4 linked regions of the Arabidopsis thaliana genome follow. The protein of the gene in region 2 interacts with the protein of the main gene of each other region in a pairwise test. Each region holds a gene or a part of one and is shown on either strand. Other genes may lie near its edges.

Region 1 (5,126 bases), about 16 Mb from region 2:
CTGACAGTAAGAATTTTCAATTTCTTTTTGGAGGGCAGAGAATCTTTCTCAGGGTTACATTTCGATTAAGTTGTTGCTTTGTGCCTTATTAAGTAAAGTTATTGGCATTTGTAATTTGGAACATTGTTTGATTGTCCACTGTTAAGAGTTTGGTTGTGAGAGAAAGATGTGTTCTTTAGGTGAAGTTAATTTATCCGTGCGTGATTGTTGAAATCATCGATATAGCCTCTTTTTTTTCTAAAGCCACATTCTTTTCTTGGTATATTACTTGCATTCACAGTGCCAGCGCTTAAAGGGAAGGATTATGGCAAAACAAAAATGAAGTATCCAGATTATACAGAAACACAGTCTGGTCTTCAGTATAAGGTCACCCCTCATTAGTCCCATATCTTATATCTAATATAGTTTAGACTATGCGGTGATCATTAACTTGAAGATTTGAGATGCTGCAGGATTTGCGAGTAGGAACTGGGCCTATAGCAAAAAAGGGAGACAAAGTTGTGGTAAGGAAATTTCTGCATATCTATGGTTTTGTATCCTTGGTCTCAAGTTTATCTAGAAGTTTGCTCTGGTTAGAGAGTTTGGAGTTTGCTTTGCTTGTATCTATGTTAGCAAATTAATGTTTCAAAGACCATAGGTTTTGCTAGTAGTTATAAATAATTGAAGCTGGGTATGTTAGGTTGACTGGGACGGTTACACAATAGGGTACTATGGACGCATATTTGAAGCTCGCAATAAAACAAAAGGGGGTTCTTTTGAGGTATAAACACGTTTTGGCTCTTTTTTTTTTTGTTTCATTAGCTACAATGATACAGTCCTTAATCTTTGTTTTCTTTTTGTGAATCTGTAGGGCGATGATAAGGAATTTTTCAAATTTACCTTAGGATCCAATGAGGTGGGCGAAATTCCAAGTCCTTCTAGTTGCTATATGGGTTTTACCGGTTTAAAGAATGGATTTTGTTACTGATTGTATGAATTGTTTCTTTCTGGATGCTGCATGATTTTGGTGTTCCAGGTGATACCTGCTTTTGAGGAGGCTGTCTCTGGGATGGCTCTCGGTGGTATCAGAAGGTTCAACATCTTTCTAATATTTCTAACTCTACACATCCTCCATATGTTTTTCATATAGAACTCACTCTTCACACAAATGGTAGACGGTAGAATGAATCAGTGTAAATAATTAGCTTGGTATTGCAGGATAATTGTACCGCCAGAACTAGGATACCCGGATAATGACTACAACAAGAGTGGGCCGAGGCCGATGACTTTCTCTGTGAGCCTTATGTTTGTTTTATGTAAACATGTATAAGAAAGACATAAGTTTTAAATGTTGTCTCTTTATGTTTGCGCAGGGACAACGTGCATTAGATTTTGTGCTGAGGAACCAAGGGCTCATAGACAAGACACTTCTCTTTGATGTTGAACTCCTCAAAATTGTACCCAATTGATGTAACATCGACAGTCTTAACTCACGTACATATATATTTATTTATGATGTGTATACTACATTGGCACATTTGTGTAAATTGAGCTCAGTTTATATCATATAATGTTAGCTCTTTTTAGGAGTGTTAAAAAAAAAAATAGCCATGCATCACCAACTAACTGTTCATCATGTTAATTCTGCTTCCTCTTTTTAGTTATATTATCCCTTATAGTGAGGTAAGTTATTATAACATTTCATAGAAAGTTTAGAATAAAATGAAATGTGAACACAAAAACCAGTGTAAGCAGCTTCTGTTGTTTTGACTTTATTGAGTAGCCAATGTTGGTTCAATGTCAGAGTCATCATTAATGGAGACTGCAAAAATAAAAGAACAAGTTGCAGTGACGCATTGTAGAAGTCCTTCAATGAGTTTATGTCTTTCAAGGACAAAACATATCAAATGAATCCACATTTCTCTAAATAAGTCCTTTCTTGAACGTTGAAACTGTGGACATCATGGGAGTCCACGTGCAATAAATGCCAGTCCTATATCTACCACTTACCAGCTAAGCTCCGTCTATTTAATTCCATCTTCCCATTTTAAGCTACTGCATTTATACATTTCTCTAACCAATCCTCATACATCCTTTTCTGCTTACAGATTTTGTTTGGCTGGATTAATTATTTCATTTATTAACTTAAGCTCTCTTGCTGTTTTTGGTCACTCTGATGCTTTCAGTTTCCATGGTTTTATGAGAAAATATCATTGATTATGGTTGCTTCTGAGATTAAATCCCCGGTGAGTGTCCCCGAGACTCCGGGAAGCTCCTCTGTGCATCATAGGAAGCAGTTGAGTGTGTTCTTCATAGAATCAGATAACAGACGTCTTGCTCTTGGCCGTGGCTATACCGGAGGAACCACTCCCGTTAACATCCATGGCAAACCCATCGCCAATCTTTCCAAAACCGGTGGTTGGATCGCAGCTTTCTTCATTTTTGGTAACTTTCTTTTCACTTACATCTAGATTATCAGTAGTTCTACGTGCAGTGCAGCTTAGTTTTGGTGGAATGGTTGCAATGTTTTAGGAAATGAAATGGCAGAGAGAATGGCGTATTTCGGACTCTCGGTGAACATGGTGGCGTTCATGTTCTACGTAATGCATAGGCCTTTTGAAAGTTCATCAAACGCAGTCAACAACTTCCTTGGCATCTCTCAAGCCTCCTCTGTTCTTGGAGGCTTCTTAGCCGACGCTTACTTGGGTCGATACTGGACTATTGCCATCTTCACTACCATGTATCTTGTCGTAAGTAGTACTGTTTTGTTCTCTGTATTTTGTTTATTTATTTATTTATGACTTATGGTTAAGGTCTTGTGCAAATGGTGCAATTTGAAGAACATCGTCTAATACGCAAGACCGAACATATGTTATGTGATGGATACTTTGAAATCTTTTCTTTTCTTTTGTTTTGCATGTGAAAAGGGTTTGATAGGAATAACATTGGGGGCAAGTTTGAAGATGTTCGTACCAGACCAGAGCAACTGTGGCCAGTTATCATTGCTCTTAGGAAATTGTGAAGAAGCCAAATCTTGGCAAATGCTTTATCTCTACACGGTTCTCTACATAACCGGATTCGGAGCTGCTGGTATAAGGCCATGTGTTTCCTCATTTGGTGCTGACCAGTTTGATGAGAAGAGCAAAGACTACAAGACACATTTAGACCGTTTCTTCAACTTCTTCTATCTATCGGTCACTTTAGGCGCAATCATTGCCTTCACTTTGGTGGTATATGTTCAAATGGAACTTGGTTGGGGTATGGCTTTTGGCACATTGGCCGTAGCCATGGGGATTTCTAATGCTTTGTTCTTTGCTGGTACACCGCTTTATCGGCATAGGTTGCCTGGTGGTAGTCCCTTGACTAGGGTAGCTCAGGTCTTAGTTGCCGCTTTCCGCAAACGAAATGCAGCTTTCACAAGCAGTGAGTTCATCGGTCTTTACGAAGTTCCTGGCTTGAAATCTGCTATTAATGGCAGTCGTAAAATCCCTCATTCCAATGATTTCATGTAAGGCTTCTTCTTTTGTGTACATCTTCCTATAAGGAAAATAAAACTTAATACTAGTATTTATCAGTCGAATGAATTCATATGCAGATGGCTAGACAAGGCGGCACTTGAGTTGAAAGAAGATGGATTGGAACCATCTCCATGGAAGCTATGCACAGTAACACAAGTAGAGGAAGTGAAGATTCTGATCAGATTGATTCCAATCCCAACATGCACTATAATGCTGAGTCTGGTCTTGACTGAGTATCTTACACTCTCAGTGCAACAAGCTTACACACTCAACACACACATTCAACACCTCAAGCTTCCAGTGACCTGCATGCCAGTTTTCCCAGGCCTAAGCATTTTCCTCATTCTCTCCCTTTATTACTCTGTCTTCGTCCCTATCACCAGAAGAATCACTGGCAATCCTCATGGTGCTTCCCAGCTTCAAAGAGTGGGCATAGGGCTAGCAGTTTCAATCATATCAGTAGCTTGGGCTGGGCTATTCGAGAACTACAGGAGACATTACGCGATACAAAATGGTTTTGAGTTCAACTTCTTGACCCAAATGCCTGATCTAACCGCGTACTGGTTGTTAATCCAGTACTGTCTCATCGGAATCGCAGAGGTTTTCTGCATAGTAGGGCTATTGGAGTTCCTTTACGAGGAAGCTCCGGATGCTATGAAGAGTATTGGTTCGGCTTACGCTGCTCTAGCCGGCGGGTTAGGGTGTTTTGCTGCCACCATTTTGAACAATATTGTCAAGGCTGCGACTCGGGACTCAGATGGGAAATCGTGGTTATCGCAGAACATAAACACGGGGAGATTCGACTGCTTGTACTGGTTGCTCACACTTCTGAGCTTTTTGAATTTCTGTGTGTTCCTTTGGTCAGCGCATAGGTACAAGTACCGAGCTATCGAGTCTGAGGAAGACAAGAGTAGTGCTGTTCTTTAAAGACACCACTTCTGTGTTCTCTTCTCGTTATTCTTTTTGATAAAACAGCAGTAATTGTATCATCCTACTTTGCTTTCCTATAGCTAATGTTTAAGGGTGGAAAATCCGCTAAACGTGATTGTTCGTTTGTAAGAAGACCAATAAAATTAAGTTGTTCAAACGTCGTATATTGGCAATTTCCAATGCATCCACTGAGAAACAAAGCTGGGAAATGAAAACACTGTTTCACAAATTCTGTTACAAAAAGGGTCGAAAACATTACTAATCAATCCTACGACTGTCTAAATATACCTCAGCCCTTTCATATATTGTTGCCTAGATATCACATACTGAGCCGCAGAGTAAACAATGCCTAAAACTCCCAGAACCCTAACTTGAAACACGTCTGTTATTATTACGGCTGCAAAGCTAAGTGGCACGGTCAGCATCGGCGACGCGTCTGTGTGTTTGGTGGTGTAACTCCAAACGTACCTGTTGAATATGATGTGACCTGGTGCTGTGAGTATTAGGAGAGCCAGGTTCTTCACCGCAAAAAACCATTCACGGCCTCCAATTTCGACTCCCCAACCTGTGTTTCCACCAAACCAAACTTCTTCCCATACAGTGTAGAGCGAGGATAATGCCAAATATGTTGATATGGCTACTGTAACCGGGAAGTATCTCTGTTTATCACCAAACCCGGATAAGAGATCAGAGTCTTGG
Region 2 (6,369 bases):
CTAAGCATCGTGCCAGATGCTTGCATTCCGACAATTACCCACATTGGATCAAACAAACATCTCAGCAAGTAGGCGAAGCTTAAGGAGAGTTTTTCCAATTCCATGAATCATTTAACCCCTTTTTCTACCATCAAAAACTTAAATTTCAATATATATTTATGAATTTTGACCCAAAAAAAATATACATATTTATGAATAAAGTGTTGTTTTATACCTTGTGAGAGAAGAACCAACCCTTTTAACGTGTAAGCTATTGGCCTTGTACTTCTGCATGTCGCAGCTACACAGTAAAGCAACCAAAAAAAGCTATGAGTATAGTTGCTTAAGACCCAAGTATGTGGAGAGGTGTCATAATAGCGATTTCAAATCATAACTACCAACGTTGCTGGTGTCCATTTACAGAGATCACTTTTCATTTTACTATGGTATATTGTTTCTCTCCGTAGTAGCCTTTGTTGCTGGCACAGCGACTTAAGACGAACTGGGACATTCATATACTAAGATAGGTTATTCCTTAATTTGTGTTGTGTTTTAGCATATTCTGATTTCTTTTTTCCCCTTTGTTTAATGATTTTATTGAGGTAACGCAAGGACCAAGAAAAGGAAATGGGATAAACTGATGATAGATTTGTTTAAGACAAGCAAGTAGAGGTACAATATTTTGGTATGAGATTGTCTCACACCAATAAACTACAAAGAAATAGAAACTTTTATTGGAGGGAAGAGAGTGCATGGAACTTGTGTTCTTGGAGACGTTGGCGAGAACACATATTTTCACTAAGGAGCCTGGAAAGGCTTGAAATCCTTGAGACTTTGTATGAGTCCTTGCACTGATCCGGCTGCAGCAACGAGGGACACAATGAAACAAGTCCAACTCAAGATTTTTAACCAAGTCCAAGTGAAAGAGAATTTCGGTATCTTCTTCTGAGCAATATGCATCTCAATGGGAAAGTAAACAGTCAAAGGCCAGAAGGAAGCTGCTCCAATAAGACCCAAGAAATCGTTGAAGAAAGGGAAGATCATGGCTACAACCGCGGTGACCACAACATATGAAGTCCTCCATACCAATCTGAGGAAGTTGATACTAAAATCACCACAGCAAGGGACATGGATTTTGTATTCTCCTGTAATAAACTTGTTATCAGGCCAACGTTTCGCGCTCTGGCTCTCTACGAACTGAAAAATTGGTTGACAAAAGACTTGGTAGGCGCCGATAAGGTGCACGGCGATGCAGACATTGGCAAAGTCGATTAGCCAGAATGGCTCATAGAAACCAAAACCAGTTAGGAAATTTCCAGGAGCATCATTTCCAAAGGCAGCGTAACCAACACAACCGCATAACATGTAGAAGAAGGTTGTTGTGGAGACACCCACAAGGCTTGCTCTTTTCATGGCTTTGTTCTCCGATGGAGGACCTGCTTTCAAGGTGTCCTGCCATGGTTTAGAGAAATATACAATTGTTAATAGTTTAGTAGAGATAGACAAACAAAACAATAGAAGCTAAACCAAACTTAACAGAAACTCTTTTTTTTTTTTTTTTTTAACATGAGTTATCTGGATTGTGGTGAACTCTTATTAATTCATCCTAATCTTTTAAATTGTTTTCAATATTGAAATGATTTCAAATTGAATAAGTTTCCTAATAGACTGTCTCCTCTCAAAAGTAACTCTATGTCTTTAATGGGTAGGTCCATGCAGTGACGTTTACTTTGCGACCAGACGGCACACAATTCAATTTTTTGGGACTCTCTCTTATTGCTGTCTCCCTAACTCCTACTATCATTAAGTCAACCCTCAACATGTAACATGCTTACAAAATATCAGTAGGACATTAATAGTGACTTGCCTGTATTTCAATGAGAACAGTTGAGTATGCGTAGGCAAATGCAATGTCCCCAATCGCTTGGAACGTTCTCCATATTTTCTCGGCACCCGATACATCAATCCCGACCGTAACTCCTGTCAGTGTTGTTCTTACGTGCTCACCGCCACCTTTATTTGTACGTTCTTCAAAACCATTAGGTCACACTCTTTAAGAAGATGTATAATTGTAAGAATAGGAATGTATATTTTATTTACCCGCCGCTTTGGCGATGGAGAGACCAACACCGATGGAGGCATAACAAAAGGACATTACGGCCGCAAGAATGGAGAGCCAAGAGAGGTTATGGAAATTTGGGATTTGGCTAAGAATAATTTGGATGATTGCAAATATGATCATGAAGGGAGTGTTTGAAGTGGCACATTTAACATTATGCCCATTTTTGTGGAAACAATTCGACCTCTTCACTGCCCTGTTTCAATGAATCCTTACATCGTCAGTCTAATGCTTTTTTTCCTATATTGAAACAATTCATTCATATAATAGTTATAATTTTTTTTTGTGTGTGCAAAAGAATAGTTATAAAATTTAACATTCATATTTTATCAATATAATTTTAACATAATTAACCAAAATAAAAATTTATTTTTCAGAATTCGACAATCATCATAGATCAAACTCGATTATTGATTGTTTTATTTTTTTCTGAAATTGTTTCATTCGACATTCCATTAGATCCAATATAAGTTAGCCCATTAAATCGAATAACTAACACATGCCAAAGAAAAAAAGATTTATGGAATTTTATATAGCATATTGCTGCCTATCATCATAGACATAGCACTTTGTCTTCAAATGTAGTAGTGTAAATTAATAAAATCAGGCATTTGTTGTCCAGCCTTAAGACTTAATAAACATGCTTGATAATAAGTTAAGGAAAAGGAGAGTTTGCTATTATTGACTTTGACTATTTAACAAATGATAATAAAATATTTATCATAAAAGAGAAGTAAATAAAAAAAAAGAAAATAAAAAGAAAACTTACACCATGCTAATTGAAGCTGTGATTGTGTAGCCGATTGTTATTCCAATCAGATTCCCGTATTGAGCCAATCCACATAATTGCACTTTTCTTCCTCCTGTTTATCTTTTAACATCAATATATATCTATAGAATATCGTTGTTATATACATAAATCATCAATTCTACAACTAAACATCTCTAATAAACAAAAACTGTCACATGAAGTCAAGTTGACGCTTTTGTACAAGAGTGTTGAAATGTGACCGACCACAACACGACATTTTCCAAGAGATACTATTCAGATATTGAATTTTAGAAGCTGTCTTTATCAAAATATTTGTTAGTTCTTAGATTTTTCGTGTCTACGATTTCTTAATTTAAAATCTTAAAGTTAAGGGGAGGGTATCTTTTGATAGTTAAAAGGGAAGAGAATAATAAGTGTGGTGAGGACAAAGAGAAAACTCCAAGAGACTATGATGCTGAAAGAATGAATTATAACTTCACATGGGATCACTACAAAAAAAATATCATTTTAAATCACTTATATTGAATATTTGTATTACTTATAATTGATGTAAAGAAATTTTACATCACTTAAATAAACGATTCGTATCTTGTTGATGCAAATAATTTACATCGATTTATTAACAACTGATGCAACTTCACATAATATTTGCATCGCTTGTTATAACTGATGTTTAATTTGAATCGGTTATAAAAACTGACGTGATATTTACATCATGTCAATTTTAAGACCAACTTCACATAATATTTACTACAAAACAGCATGTGTATATATAACACAGGAATATATATTGAAATGTAATCTTTTAGTATTTTTAGAGCGAGTTTAAACTAGAAGTTCATGAAACTTAATACTACTTGTCATAAAGGTTCTTCAGAGTGATTGACCAACAAAAAAGAAGAAGAAGATAGATAGCGAATCTGACCTAGATAGGATCGGACAACTTCCATGTAGGTGTAGTTGCGTTTGCCGGTAACAGGGTCAGGGGAACGGTAACAATCGGCAAGCATGGTTGATGTAAAATATGTTATGAAAGAAAAAGCCATTAGTACGGCGGGTCCTGCCACCCATCCAAGTTGTGCGATTGCCCACGCCAAAGACAACACTCCCGACCCTATCACGGCCGTTATTATGTGTGCACTCCCGGTCATCCATGTCCCTATACAATTCAATTAACCACACAAACTCTATGTTATTTAGGATGCAATTACTGCAAACGCTAATTTTGCGTTTATGTCCGCATTAACACGTAGAAAAAAAAAACAAGTTTACGCCTATAAAAGATAGAATATTCGCAATTACTAAAAAATATTTTCAGTGTACACTTAAACGTCAAACGGAAACAAATTCTCGTCTTTTATTAATGTTTCACGCTTGCGTCTAGAATTGTTTAACGTGCTAAAATAAATCTTCTTTGAAACATAATCATAATTTTGCATGCCAACACATACAATACAATGGACTAGCTGAGACTTATTTACTTGCCCGTTATATATACACATCTATGTGATCATGCTGTCTGAATCATAGCGTATATAAGATTTAGAGAGATAACGATGAGTTACCAGTTCTTTTGTCGCGGCCATCCTCGTCAAAGTTTTTGTTAGTATCGCCAATTTCATGCTCCGGGAAGCTCTGTTCAACGAACATGCTCTTCTTCTTCTCCATCTATCGATTGTTTTTGAGCTTAGCTATGATAAAATAAGAAGAAGAGGCCAAAGGTAGTATGTATGGAGTGTCAAGGACTCTTCTCCACTTAAATAGACACACCACATTTCACACCTAATCCCTTTCTCTCTTTTATTTTATTTTAAATGTCATCTTTTATATTGTAGTGTTCATTTTTCACACCTTTCATTATTGTCTGTCTCTGTAATTAATATATTTATTATTTTACGTTATGATTTTATGAATGAGATTCATTAATGTCGAATAGATTGCTTCGATCGATTATATATATTGGATAGGCTCAGACCCATTTGTTGAAAGTTGACTACTGTTGGTGTTTATTTTGATTATAATTTACTGAGAGTGATAAATTAAATTAACTTTTCTTTGTGGATGGGTGGGAGAATAATTATTGACACACTATCAGTGGCTCTCCTCTGTAGTTTCCTGGATCTTAGGTTACAAGGTCCACCACTTATCATTTTATTCATTTCTTGATTCCACACATACACATAATATGAAATTTTCAATTCCTATTCCTTTCTAATTCATTTTACTACTACGCGTACGGATTCATATATACATAAATACATATTTTAAAAAAAAAAACATATTTGTAAAACATTTTAACCCATGATACAGAAACATATATAAGACAAAAATACATCTTATGAATCTATATATCAACATGAACCAAGTTTTATGATATTTTGTTCACCAAACCGAATCGTATGTAGTACATAAACAAAATGTCTCTGTATTTGAAGAACTTTTTAACTATAACGACAAGAGCGTGTGCCAATAACAGAAGGGACTTTAGTGGGCGATTAATCTCGTTCATAGATTTTGGCTTTTGATTTTTCAACCAAACTTCGAGCCAATTACGGTTTTTCGTTTTATATTCCTGTTGAATAAGGTTGACGATAGTTGAATTTTCAACGATTCTATTACTATCAAATATTTTTTTCTTTCCACTATGTTAGACCATGTTCTTGATGTTTTATCACGCGGTCTTGACATCAAATTCTGATAAGAGAGTCGACCAATTACAAAGCCCGTTTTTGGTATATTTCATAGCAAATATAAAAGTTGTTTATTTATACCAAAGTTAAAAGAGAATAAGCTAATTAAGTTTTCAAAGTCTTGTTACACAAGATAACATTATTTCTTTGATTTCAATTCATATTTGTTTTCATCGGTTTAGCCAGTCACTACAAAAAAGTGATCATTTTATATCATTTATTTTAAATATTTGTATTACTTATAATTGATGTAAAAGAAAATTACATCATTTAAATAAATGATTTATATACTGTTGATGTAAATAATTTACATCATTTAAAATAAATATTTGCATCGATTATTATAACCGATGTTATTATGTATCATTTGCAAATAGATGATGTTAATTTTGCATCGATTAATAAAAATGATGTTAGTATTTGTTTCGATTATTGTAAGTGATGTTAAATATTTGTATTGATTGTAAATTACTGATGTAAAGATTAATGTCAGTTTTAATAAATGATTCAAATAATTGTATCATTTAAAATAATGGATGTTAATTTTTTTTTGTCAAATACTGAATAACCGATTGAATTAATTTTAGTTTTCATAAATATTTTTTAATAATTGTTTTATTTTCAATAATCACTAATTATAAATAAAATAATACAAAAAATCTTAAATTCATTGAAGAAATTAAACCACGTACATAGTTCAAAAGTAAAATACTACAAATTAAACTTCAAAACTATAAACTACTTTTGTTCTTTGATTCTCTTGTAATCACACAGAGACATACCACATATGTCTCCATAATTTTCCTCAC
Region 3 (4,216 bases), on a different chromosome or scaffold from region 2:
TGTATTGGTTTACGTAGTGCTTGGACTTCTTGTAGGAGCAGATTGCTATCTGTACTCCATTGGACTTCTTTACTTACCCGTTTCTACCTATTCCCTGATCTGTGCATCTCAGTTAGCCTTCAATGCTTTCTTCTCTTATTTTCTTAACTCACAAAAACTTACCCCTATCATTTTAAATTCTCTTTTCCTCCTAACTATATCTTCCACCCTACTTGCATTCAATAATGAGGAGACAGACTCCACAAAAGTTACAAAAGGAGAGTATGTCAAAGGTTTCATATGCACCGTTGCTGCGTCTGCTGGTTATGGTCTAGTCTTATCCCTACAACAGCTAGCCTTTCTAAAAGTCCTAAAGAAGCAAAATTTCTCAGAAGTTATGGATATGATAATCTACGTGAGTCTAGTGGCCAGTTGTGTTAGCGTGGTGGGGCTTTTTGCTAGCAGTGAGTGGAAAACTTTGAGCAGTGAAATGGATAACTACAAACATGGGAAGGTATCCTACATTATGAACCTAGTGTGGACAGCTGTTACCTGGCAGGTATTCTCCATCGGTGGCACAGGACTGATCTTCGAGCTCTCCTCTCTATTCTCAAATGCAATAAGCGTTTTGGGACTCCCAGTGGTTCCTATCTTGGCTGTAATCATTTTCCATGACAAAATGAATGGGTTAAAGGTGATTTCTATGATCCTAGCTATTTGGGGTTTCACTTCCTATGTCTACCAACAATATCTTGATGACAAAAACTTGAAGAAAAATCATGAAATCACAACAACAGAATCCCCTGACCCACCAGAAGCAGAAGAGTCAACTTGGCAATCAAAATAAGCTGATATTTTGAAAGATGCTGTCCCGCAGTTTACAGACTCAATCAATCTAGTTAAGTAAACTTACTTTACTTATCGGCCTGGAGGCATCCTACATTGAAGAATACACAATACATTTTTGATGCAACTAATGTAAAGTCTCAGCTTGAAATTTTTTGCATCATTGTAACAGGAAGTAGATTTCATTTAAATAAGTAGTGAATGACTTTGGTTTAGTTTCAATTACGATTACCCAAATTACATTGTAATCTCAGTGAACCAACAATCTTAAGTTTAGAACAGCTGATTACAAAAGTTCATCGTTTAAACTTGGGTTCATAGCAGCTAAAGATTAAATGTAACTCAACCCTGTATGTAACAAGAACCTGTAGGCAGATTGATAAAAGTAGATATTTATTTAATAAAAAACCATGTCAATTTTGTGAGTGTGACACCTGATAAAAATTAACCCTTAGCCATAACTTAAAAAGATTTCAATGCACTATTCCACTTTCTAGTTTTACCTGAAACATTGTGAAACAAGGACACACAGAAAATCATTTCTAATGAAGAAAGAAGAAATATTAATCAGACAGGTCCAAACATCCTTGGTGAAACAGAGCTTTGTACAAAAAGTAAATGACCAGAAATAATACCATTTGGCAGTCTCCATCTTAGCAGTTAATAAAGTGACTTCCTCTGCCATCCAATATTGTGGTGCAAATGTCTTCTTTTGAAAAGAGAAGCGAGACATCATCTCCATAAATGTGTTTCTAATCCACATGCCTGATCTCATAAGAGAAAGATAGTCAGACGGAACAAGCCAAAGAAATTAAAGAAGACGAATAACTTTCAAAATAGACATCCTGACGGTCATACAATCTTACAACTTGTGTGCATGCGTGTTAAGTTTGTGTCTATGCATATGGCTGATGTGTCACACAGGTATAAAATACTGAGTGACTAATGGCTACACATCATTTCCTTCTTGATTTGACTCGACTCATCTCTAGATCAACAATAGTGACAAAAGAAATTAAATTCACAGCAAGAGAAGATATACAGTTGGCATTTACTGAATGTGGGGACAAGTACAATCAAAACATAGACGATGACCGATTCCTAATCTCTAAATATATAGCTACAGCGTGTCTCACCCATATCACAGAAGCAATCACTTGGTAGCACTAGTAACCAAGCAATTTGATAATAAGATACCTAATACTTAGAATCTATTCAGAACATTGTTAGTACCTCCTTGTCCATCTCGAAGGAGGGGGATTCCACATCTACTATGAAGGGGGATCAAGAAGTACAAGTCATTGGTGAGTAAGCATAAACCAGTTCCTCGAGAACCTACTGGTCTTTTATCTTCAAATAAAAGACGAAAAATATGGTTATGGTATCTTATTATTCAATATATCAATATTTTTCATGTGTGACAACAAATAAGTCATAATCTAATTTCTTGCGTTATTTTCCATCACTCACCAGTTCAGCAGGGAAAAGAACCAATTCCAACAGATCAAGACGAAAGAAGTTCGGTCAGTGGCAGCCAAACAAAACTATCTCACTCTAATACATACAAACGGTGGCTCCGGGTTGCTATCTATACATTCTTTGTCATTTCAGGCCAATCAGTTGCTACAATTCTGGGCAGACTATACTATGAAAATGGAGGAAACAGCAAATGGCTAGCAACGGTAGTTCAGCTTGTAGGCTTTCCTATTCTACTTCCATATCATCTCTTGTCAGTCAAAACACATACAACAACTCAGAGAGATGGCAAATTAACCTCACTTAGGAACCGTGCATTAGTTTACATAGTGCTTGGACTTCTTGTAGGAGCAGCTTGCTACCTATATTCCATTGGACTGCTTTACCTACCTGTTTCTACCCTTTCCCTGATCTGTGCATCACAGTTAGCCTTCACCGCTTTCTTCTCTTATTTACTCAACTCACAAAAACTTACTCCTATCATTTTGAATTCTCTTTTCCTCCTCACTATATCTTCCACCCTCCTTGCATTTAATAACGAGGAATCAGATTCCAAAAAAGTTACAAAAGGAGAGTATGTCAAAGGTTTCGTATGCACCGTTGGTGCATCTGCTGGGTTTGGTCTACTCTTATCCCTACAACAGCTAGCCTTTCGTAAAGTTTTAAAGAAGCAAACTTTCTCAGAAGTTATAAATATGATAATCTACATGAGTCTAGTGGCCAGTTGTGTTAGCGTGGTGGGGCTTTTTGCTAGTAGCGAGTGGAAAACTTTGAGCAGTGAAATGGAAAACTACAAACTTGGGAAGGTATCCTATGTCATGAACCTAGTGTGGACAGCTGTTACCTGGCAGGTATTCTCCATCGGTTGCACAGGACTGATCTTCGAGCTTTCCTCCCTATTCTCAAATGCAATAAGCGCTTTGGGACTCCCCGTGGTTCCTATCCTGGCTGTCATCATTTTCCATGACAAAATGAACGGCTTAAAGGTGATTTCTATGATTCTAGCTATTTGGGGTTTCGTATCCTATGTCTACCAACAATATCTTGATGAAACAAACTTGAAGAAAAGTAATGAAATACCAACAACAGAATCCCCTGACCGACCAGAAGCAGAAGGGTCAAGTGAGCAATCAAAATAAGCTGTTACTTCAAAGATTGTGGCACACACAGTTTACAGACTAAAGCGAGCTGATCAAGTAAACTTACTTTTCTTTATTGGTATGAAGGCAGCCTACAATGAAAAATAAACATAATAGATTTGTGATGCGACTCAAGTGAAGTCACAGCCTGAAAATGTGTGCATCATTGTAACATGAAGTATATTTTATTTAAATATATGTTGTGCACGATTCTGGTTTAGTTTGGAATAAGATGACCAAAATCACATTATAAGCTCACTGAAATAGCATTAAGTCATTAACAAAGTCAAAACAGCTGATTACAAAAATTCATTGTTTAAAACTCAATCCTGCATATAAAGAGAAGGTGTACACTATGTAGCTTTCTAAGTTTTTGTAATATATCTAGGTGTAAGTAGAGTTCCAATCAGCTTACATCAGGCACCCAACATAGTGAGCCCGAGGATACTTCTTATGCAGTTGTGGCCATTGAACAAAGAATTGATCAGCTATTCTCAACTTGTAAAGCAACAATCCACTTAATGAGAGCTTTTTCACTCTTGCTACACTCTCAACATAAAAGATTGATGACCATCTAATTCCCAGCACCTGTAACCCAAGATGAAACAAGCACTTATGGGAATTCTAGATGTAATGGAGAAACCATGACTAAGAATAAACAAAACACATCCTCTGTTTTTGGTCACAAGTCCATTCAAGGTCATCCAAAATGTAGAGGAAAGAACTGCAAAGAATCTTGATAAAATATTTCCGAAGTGTGTATACCTTGAATAAAA
Region 4 (5,273 bases), on a different chromosome or scaffold from region 2:
ATAACGGTTGACTAACACCTTTATCGAGAAGGGCGATTTATGCATCAAAATATAAGTTGAGGGAGGTTTCTTAAACAAATTAAGGCGTTTGGAGAAGAAATTACCATGATCATTTCTGAGAGTTCTTTCTCGAATTTAAATTTTTTTTAATATAAAATATATTTGCGTTTAGTTTTGAAATAATAAGTATAAAAATATTCACCAAAAACAAAATAAGTATAAAAATTGTAGAATTAAAAGTGTATAGCAAGAATTAGTAAAAGTGGATAAATACAGATTAATGGTTAAGAAAAAATGTGAACTTGGCACATAAAAATTAAAATTTCTCTTTTTCAAGATCTAGATTGAAAGAAATTTTGAAAGATAACTTCGATAAAACGACCATAGATCCACAAACCCTTATATAATTCCGCATTTTTGTCTCCAGATATTATCTTCGATTGGAAATTCTCTGTTGCGTCTAGATCTTGTCCTCAATTTCATCATCTTGCTCTATTATCATGAATCTCACATCTTGTCCACCAATTAATCTGTATTTATTCAGTGGTAGATTTTGAAAGATTCTCATTTGAAATCAGCCTTTGAGCAAATCAAACGATTATATATTATTATTTTTGGTGTATTTTATTGTTAAAACATTTTCCAAAAATTTTACCATTTCTCACCATTAAAACAATAAAAAATACAACATTTTTTTGTATGTTTAATATTTGTAATATAATTTAACTTGAATACTGATTTTAATTATTTCATATTTCAGATGTTTTTAGTAATTGAGGTAATGAAAGGTAATAAGCACCAGAAATTTCAGATAAACTTTTGACCACCAGCCATATTAAACATTTTAATTATGGTTTGAATCTTTCCTCACTTTTTTGCGTATGTACGTCTAAACTAGATTTTAACCCGCGGTATACCACGGGAACAATTTATTTTTTAAAGTTAGTATATATATAAAAGTTTACAAATTATATCTATCTATAAAATAATTTTATTTTATAGTTTACAAATATTATTAAGTAACGTCCTGCCAAACCCGTCCTGTAAAAAAAACCATTTATTTTATTAATGTTGATCTTATTTATGATATGTTTATGAATCATTGTCTAAATATTTTGTAATTTTGTAGTAATTAAATGCTATCAGATTATATCTCTGCGCTTTGATGATTATAATCGAATTGTTATAGTTATGGAGAAAAGCAATATCAAAAATGATAATTTTGTAGTAATTAAATGATATTAAATATTTTAGAAGTATTATTTTAGTAAATAATCATGTAGTTAATATGAAGAGATTTTGGGAAGATTGTTAAATGTCAAATATTTAATTCGAAGATTTTCTTTTTAATTATCAAAAACAAACATTAAAATCCAGTGGCAACCATTGTAAATAAATCCGAACTACAGGATTTATTTCACAAAATGGTTGCAAAAATGTATATATAGATCTATCGGATTAATTGTATATCGGATTTTAGGGTGGTCACTAATTTTATAAGTATTATTAGATCGGAAAAAATATTATCAAGGGAAGGAAAGAAAAAAAATTGTAAACTTAGATTGAAGCAGTTGGAAAATATTTCTAGACTATAAACTTGGGTCCCCAAACAGAAACTTTGAGCTAATTTTGGCTCAAACCTCCAAGCTTGCAATTTTATTTAGCAAAGCAAATTCTTCATGTTCTAGATTTTACGTTTTTGAACAAACAAAATGGAAAAAAAAAACAGTTACTCTCTGGATATATATATTTTTTTTTTCTAAATTGGAAAGTTACATTTGTTCCAGAGAGATTATGACAGCTATTTACCAAAGACCAGACAAAAACAACACAAAAAACTAACAAGACTCTTTTCAAAACCCAAATTCAAAGAATGAACACTTTTTTTTCTTCTTTTCCAGAGACTTAAACTTTATAACACAAAAAAAAAGCATTTTCATCCCCAAGTTTTGCTAAGTTATTGGCTTATATTCATGAACACGACTACTTACATTGGGGATTGTCGAATATCATTCTTCAACATATCTTCCCAGGGATTTTGGGATAACCTAAAATCGCCTGATGTGGTTTTCGGCTACTCGCTGCCTCTCCTAGAGATTCAGATAATACTGATATTCTTCTGCATTGTCATGTCTCATATGTTCCTCAGATGCATCGGCATTTCCCAAATCGCTTCATATATGATTGTAAGCAAGTTTTCCATATCTAACTTGGCAAGCACACAAGATATTTCCAATTATTAGAACTACAAAAGTAGATGTAACTTGACAAGCACGTAAATTGTTTAAGGGACAAAGAAGATCATGCATGCGTGCTATTGAAGATATTTTTCAGAAACTGAAATCATATATATAAATTTATGTGCAGGCTGGAATAGTTCTAGGGCCTCAGCTTTTTGATGTACTAGAGAAATCTTCAGGGAAACTATCCGTGGATCCTGCGTTGGATGGAATCGCAGCGTTAAGATGCATCTCGGTGTTTGGAACACTAATGTTTACGTTTCTAATGACTGTTAGAACCAGCAGGCGAGTGGCGTTCCATAGCGGAAAATTGCCCGTTGTGATCGGGATCGTGTCCTTCTTTGCTCCTCTGTTTGGTCTCGGTTTCCAGAATTTTTTTTCTGACAACATCGACCCTCACTACATGCCTCTAACTAAAGCCCTAGGTGAGCGCACTGCGATTGTCATAACTCAATCTTCGATACTTTTGCCTTCCACTACATATATCTTGCTAGAGCTCAAGATCATCAACTCCGAGCTAGGTCGCCTTGCATTGTCTGCATGTGTCATCAACGACATCTTGGGGATTTTTTCCATGATAGTTGCCTCTATACAAGCGACCTACATTCATGTTTCACATGCAACAGCCTATCGTGACACTGTCGCGGTGATCATCTTTTTTCTCGTCGTCTTTCTTGTTTTTAAGCCTATGGTGCAATGGGTCATAGACCGCACACCGGAAGACAAGCCAGTGGAGGATATGTACATTCATGCCGTGATTATTACCGCATTGGCTTCCGCTGCTTATTTTGTGTTTTTCAACATGAAATATATTTTAGGACCATTAATGATTGGCATCATCATACCAGAGGGTCCACCATTAGGATCGGCTCTAGAGGCTAAGTTTGAGAGGCTCACAATGAACGTGTTCTTACCAATCTCAATCACATTCAGCGCGATGAGATGTGATGGAGCAAGGATCCTTAGCCAGTTCAATGACATCTTCTTCAACATCTTCCTAACATTTCTTATACTTGTCATAAAACTGGTCGCATGCCTTGCACCTTGCTTGTACTACAAGTTACCTCTCAGTGAATCCTTGGCTGTTTCCTTCATCTTGAGCTACAAAAGTTTTGCTGATTTTGTTCTCTATGAAGCTGTATTAGACGACACGGTAACCTCCTAACTCGCAAATAGTCGATTATTGGTATCATTTGCCATTAATCTAAACATTTTTTTATGGTTTGGTTTTGCAGTACATATCGCAAGCCACTTACTCGTTCTTAATCTTATATTCGCTACTAAATGCCGGGATTGTCCCTACTGTCTTAAGGAGGATGTACGATCCAAGAAGAAAGTACGTTAATTACCAGAAAAGGGACATATTGCATCTAGAACGAAACTCAGATCTTCGAATTCTAACTTGTTTGCACAAACCAGAAAACGTCTCAGAGACCATAGCATTCCTACAATTGTTGTCCTCACCGAACCTAGACTTCCCTATCGCGGTTACAGTTCTCCACCTTGTGAAGCTCGTTGGTCAGATAAACCCTATCATAGTCTCACACGACAAGAAATTGAAACGGCTTAACAAAGACTCATACATCCATACCGCAAACCTTGCCTTTAGACAATTCGTGTTAGAAAGCTTAGAGTCTGTAACCGTGACAACGTTCACTGCGTTCTCGCATGAAAACTTGATGCACGAAGACATTTGTACACTTGCACTTGACAAAACAACATCGATGATTGTCGTCCCATCGGGGAGGAAATGGACTGTAGATGGGTTATTCGAGTCTGACAACACTGCTATAAGACATCTAAACCAGTCGTTACTCGATCGTGCGCCTTGTTCTATCGGCATACTAGTAGACCGTGGACAATTCTCGCGAAAAAGTATTGTAACGAGCAAAAAAAGGTACATCATTGATGTTGGTGTGCTCTTCATTGGAGGCAAAGACGATAGGGAAGCACTATCATTGGTGAAGAGGATGAAAAATAACCCGAGGATCCGTGTAACCGTGATCCGACTCGTCTTCGACCATGAAATAGAGTCAGATTGGGATTATATTCTTGATAACGAAGGCTTAAAGGATTTGAAGAGTACTGAAGACAACAAAGATATTGATTATATAGAGAGGATTGTGACTAGTAGTGTTGAGGTAGTCAAAGCTGTCCAATTGCTTGCAGAAGAGTACGATCTAATGGTGGTCGGGAGAGATCATGATATGACATCACAAGACTTATCAGGACTAATGGAATGGGTCGAACTACCAGAGTTAGGTGTCATCGGGGATTTGCTGGCGGCTAGAGATCTAAGCTCTAAGGTTTCGGTTTTAGTAGTTCAACAACAACAACAACGAACGTGACATGTTTTGACCGCAAGACTGTGTGTATTCATTTAGGGCAAACTTTTAGAAAATTTTAAGATGTATAAATAGTCATTCATTTGTTTAAATATAATATGCGTATATATTCATACAAATTTTTTTACATTATATACAAATTAAACATACTTAGAATCCATAAGAAGGAATAACCATAAACTTTGATTCAGATTGTTATACTTCCTCCAGCTCAACTCTGTGTTTCTCAATCCGTCCTTTCACTCTTTCACTCTTTCACTAGCTTCTGGTATTCTTAGAACATTAGGTTGCCCAAAGCTGACACTGGTCTGTAAAGTCGAAGCGACTCCATGTTTATCTTCAAGAAAGAAACATGTTTCTTCAACTGCAAGAAACATTGTCTAAGAAGAAACCCTTTGAAAATATTAAAAACATTACCAGTTCTAGTTGGGAGAAAGTTTCTGAATTTGGGGTTTTATATTATATCTTTTGTTAGTCTTTGGAAATCTATCTGTTCATTTCCAATTTAATCTTCGGTTGCTTTGTTTCTTCCTTACTCTTCTCTTTTCTCCACTCCTCTAATATCACAGTGGTCTTGATATGATCAACAAAATTAAATTACAACCAAATGTAGCTTAATGTATATCTGCTTTCTCTAAGGGTTAATAATATCTCAAATCGAGTTTAAGGAAGAAGTATTAAAGACATT

What was found.
Region 1: the proteins of AAP6 (region 2) and AT5G13400 interact in a protein complementation assay, tested with the Arabidopsis thaliana proteins (one large-scale study listed by BioGRID).
Region 3: the proteins of AAP6 (region 2) and AT4G18220 interact in a protein complementation assay, tested with the Arabidopsis thaliana proteins (one large-scale study listed by BioGRID).
Region 4: the proteins of AAP6 (region 2) and CHX10 interact in a protein complementation assay, tested with the Arabidopsis thaliana proteins (one large-scale study listed by BioGRID).

Annotation. Positions count from the first base shown.
Region 1 is NC_003076.8:4,296,152-4,301,277, reverse strand, and holds AT5G13400 (Major facilitator superfamily protein), read left to right. Parts: upstream 1-2,013; 5' UTR 2,014-2,198; coding exon 2,199-2,424; intron 2,425-2,511; coding exon 2,512-2,729; intron 2,730-2,906; coding exon 2,907-3,487; intron 3,488-3,574; coding exon 3,575-4,424; 3' UTR 4,425-4,590; downstream 4,591-5,126. Other genes in the region: AT5G13410 (FKBP-like peptidyl-prolyl cis-trans isomerase family protein), read left to right, coding at 1-6, 281-366, 453-503, 680-760, 851-895, 1,016-1,071, 1,198-1,273, 1,353-1,448; NEF1 (no exine formation 1), read right to left, coding at 4,706-5,126.
Region 2 is NC_003076.8:20,141,904-20,148,272, forward strand, and holds AAP6 (amino acid permease 6), read right to left. Parts: upstream 4,788-6,369; 5' UTR 4,539-4,787; coding exon 4,436-4,538; intron 4,030-4,435; coding exon 3,796-4,029; intron 2,962-3,795; coding exon 2,868-2,961; intron 2,295-2,867; coding exon 2,080-2,294; intron 1,993-2,079; coding exon 1,847-1,992; intron 1,432-1,846; coding exon 778-1,431; 3' UTR 527-777; downstream 1-526. UniProt on the Arabidopsis thaliana protein: Amino acid-proton symporter. Stereospecific transporter with a broad specificity for tryptophan, proline, and neutral and acidic amino acids. Has an affinity for aspartate in a physiological range.
Region 3 is NC_003075.7:10,076,670-10,080,885, forward strand, and holds AT4G18220 (Drug/metabolite transporter superfamily protein), read left to right. Parts: upstream 1-1,968; 5' UTR 1,969-2,058; coding exon of another isoform or gene 2,059-2,098; coding exon 2,099-2,129; coding exon of another isoform or gene 2,130-2,175; intron 2,176-2,298; coding exon 2,299-3,440; 3' UTR 3,441-3,693; downstream 3,694-4,216. Other genes in the region: PUP10 (purine permease 10), read left to right, coding at 1-826; AT4G18230 (UDP-N-acetylglucosamine transferase subunit ALG14-like protein), read right to left, coding at 3,852-4,028, 4,206-4,216.
Region 4 is NC_003074.8:16,401,373-16,406,645, reverse strand, and holds CHX10 (cation/H+ exchanger 10), read left to right. Parts: upstream 1-1,821; 5' UTR 1,822-1,973; coding exon 1,974-2,186; intron 2,187-2,367; coding exon 2,368-3,393; intron 3,394-3,475; coding exon 3,476-4,588; 3' UTR 4,589-4,755; downstream 4,756-5,273. UniProt on the Arabidopsis thaliana protein: May operate as a cation/H(+) antiporter.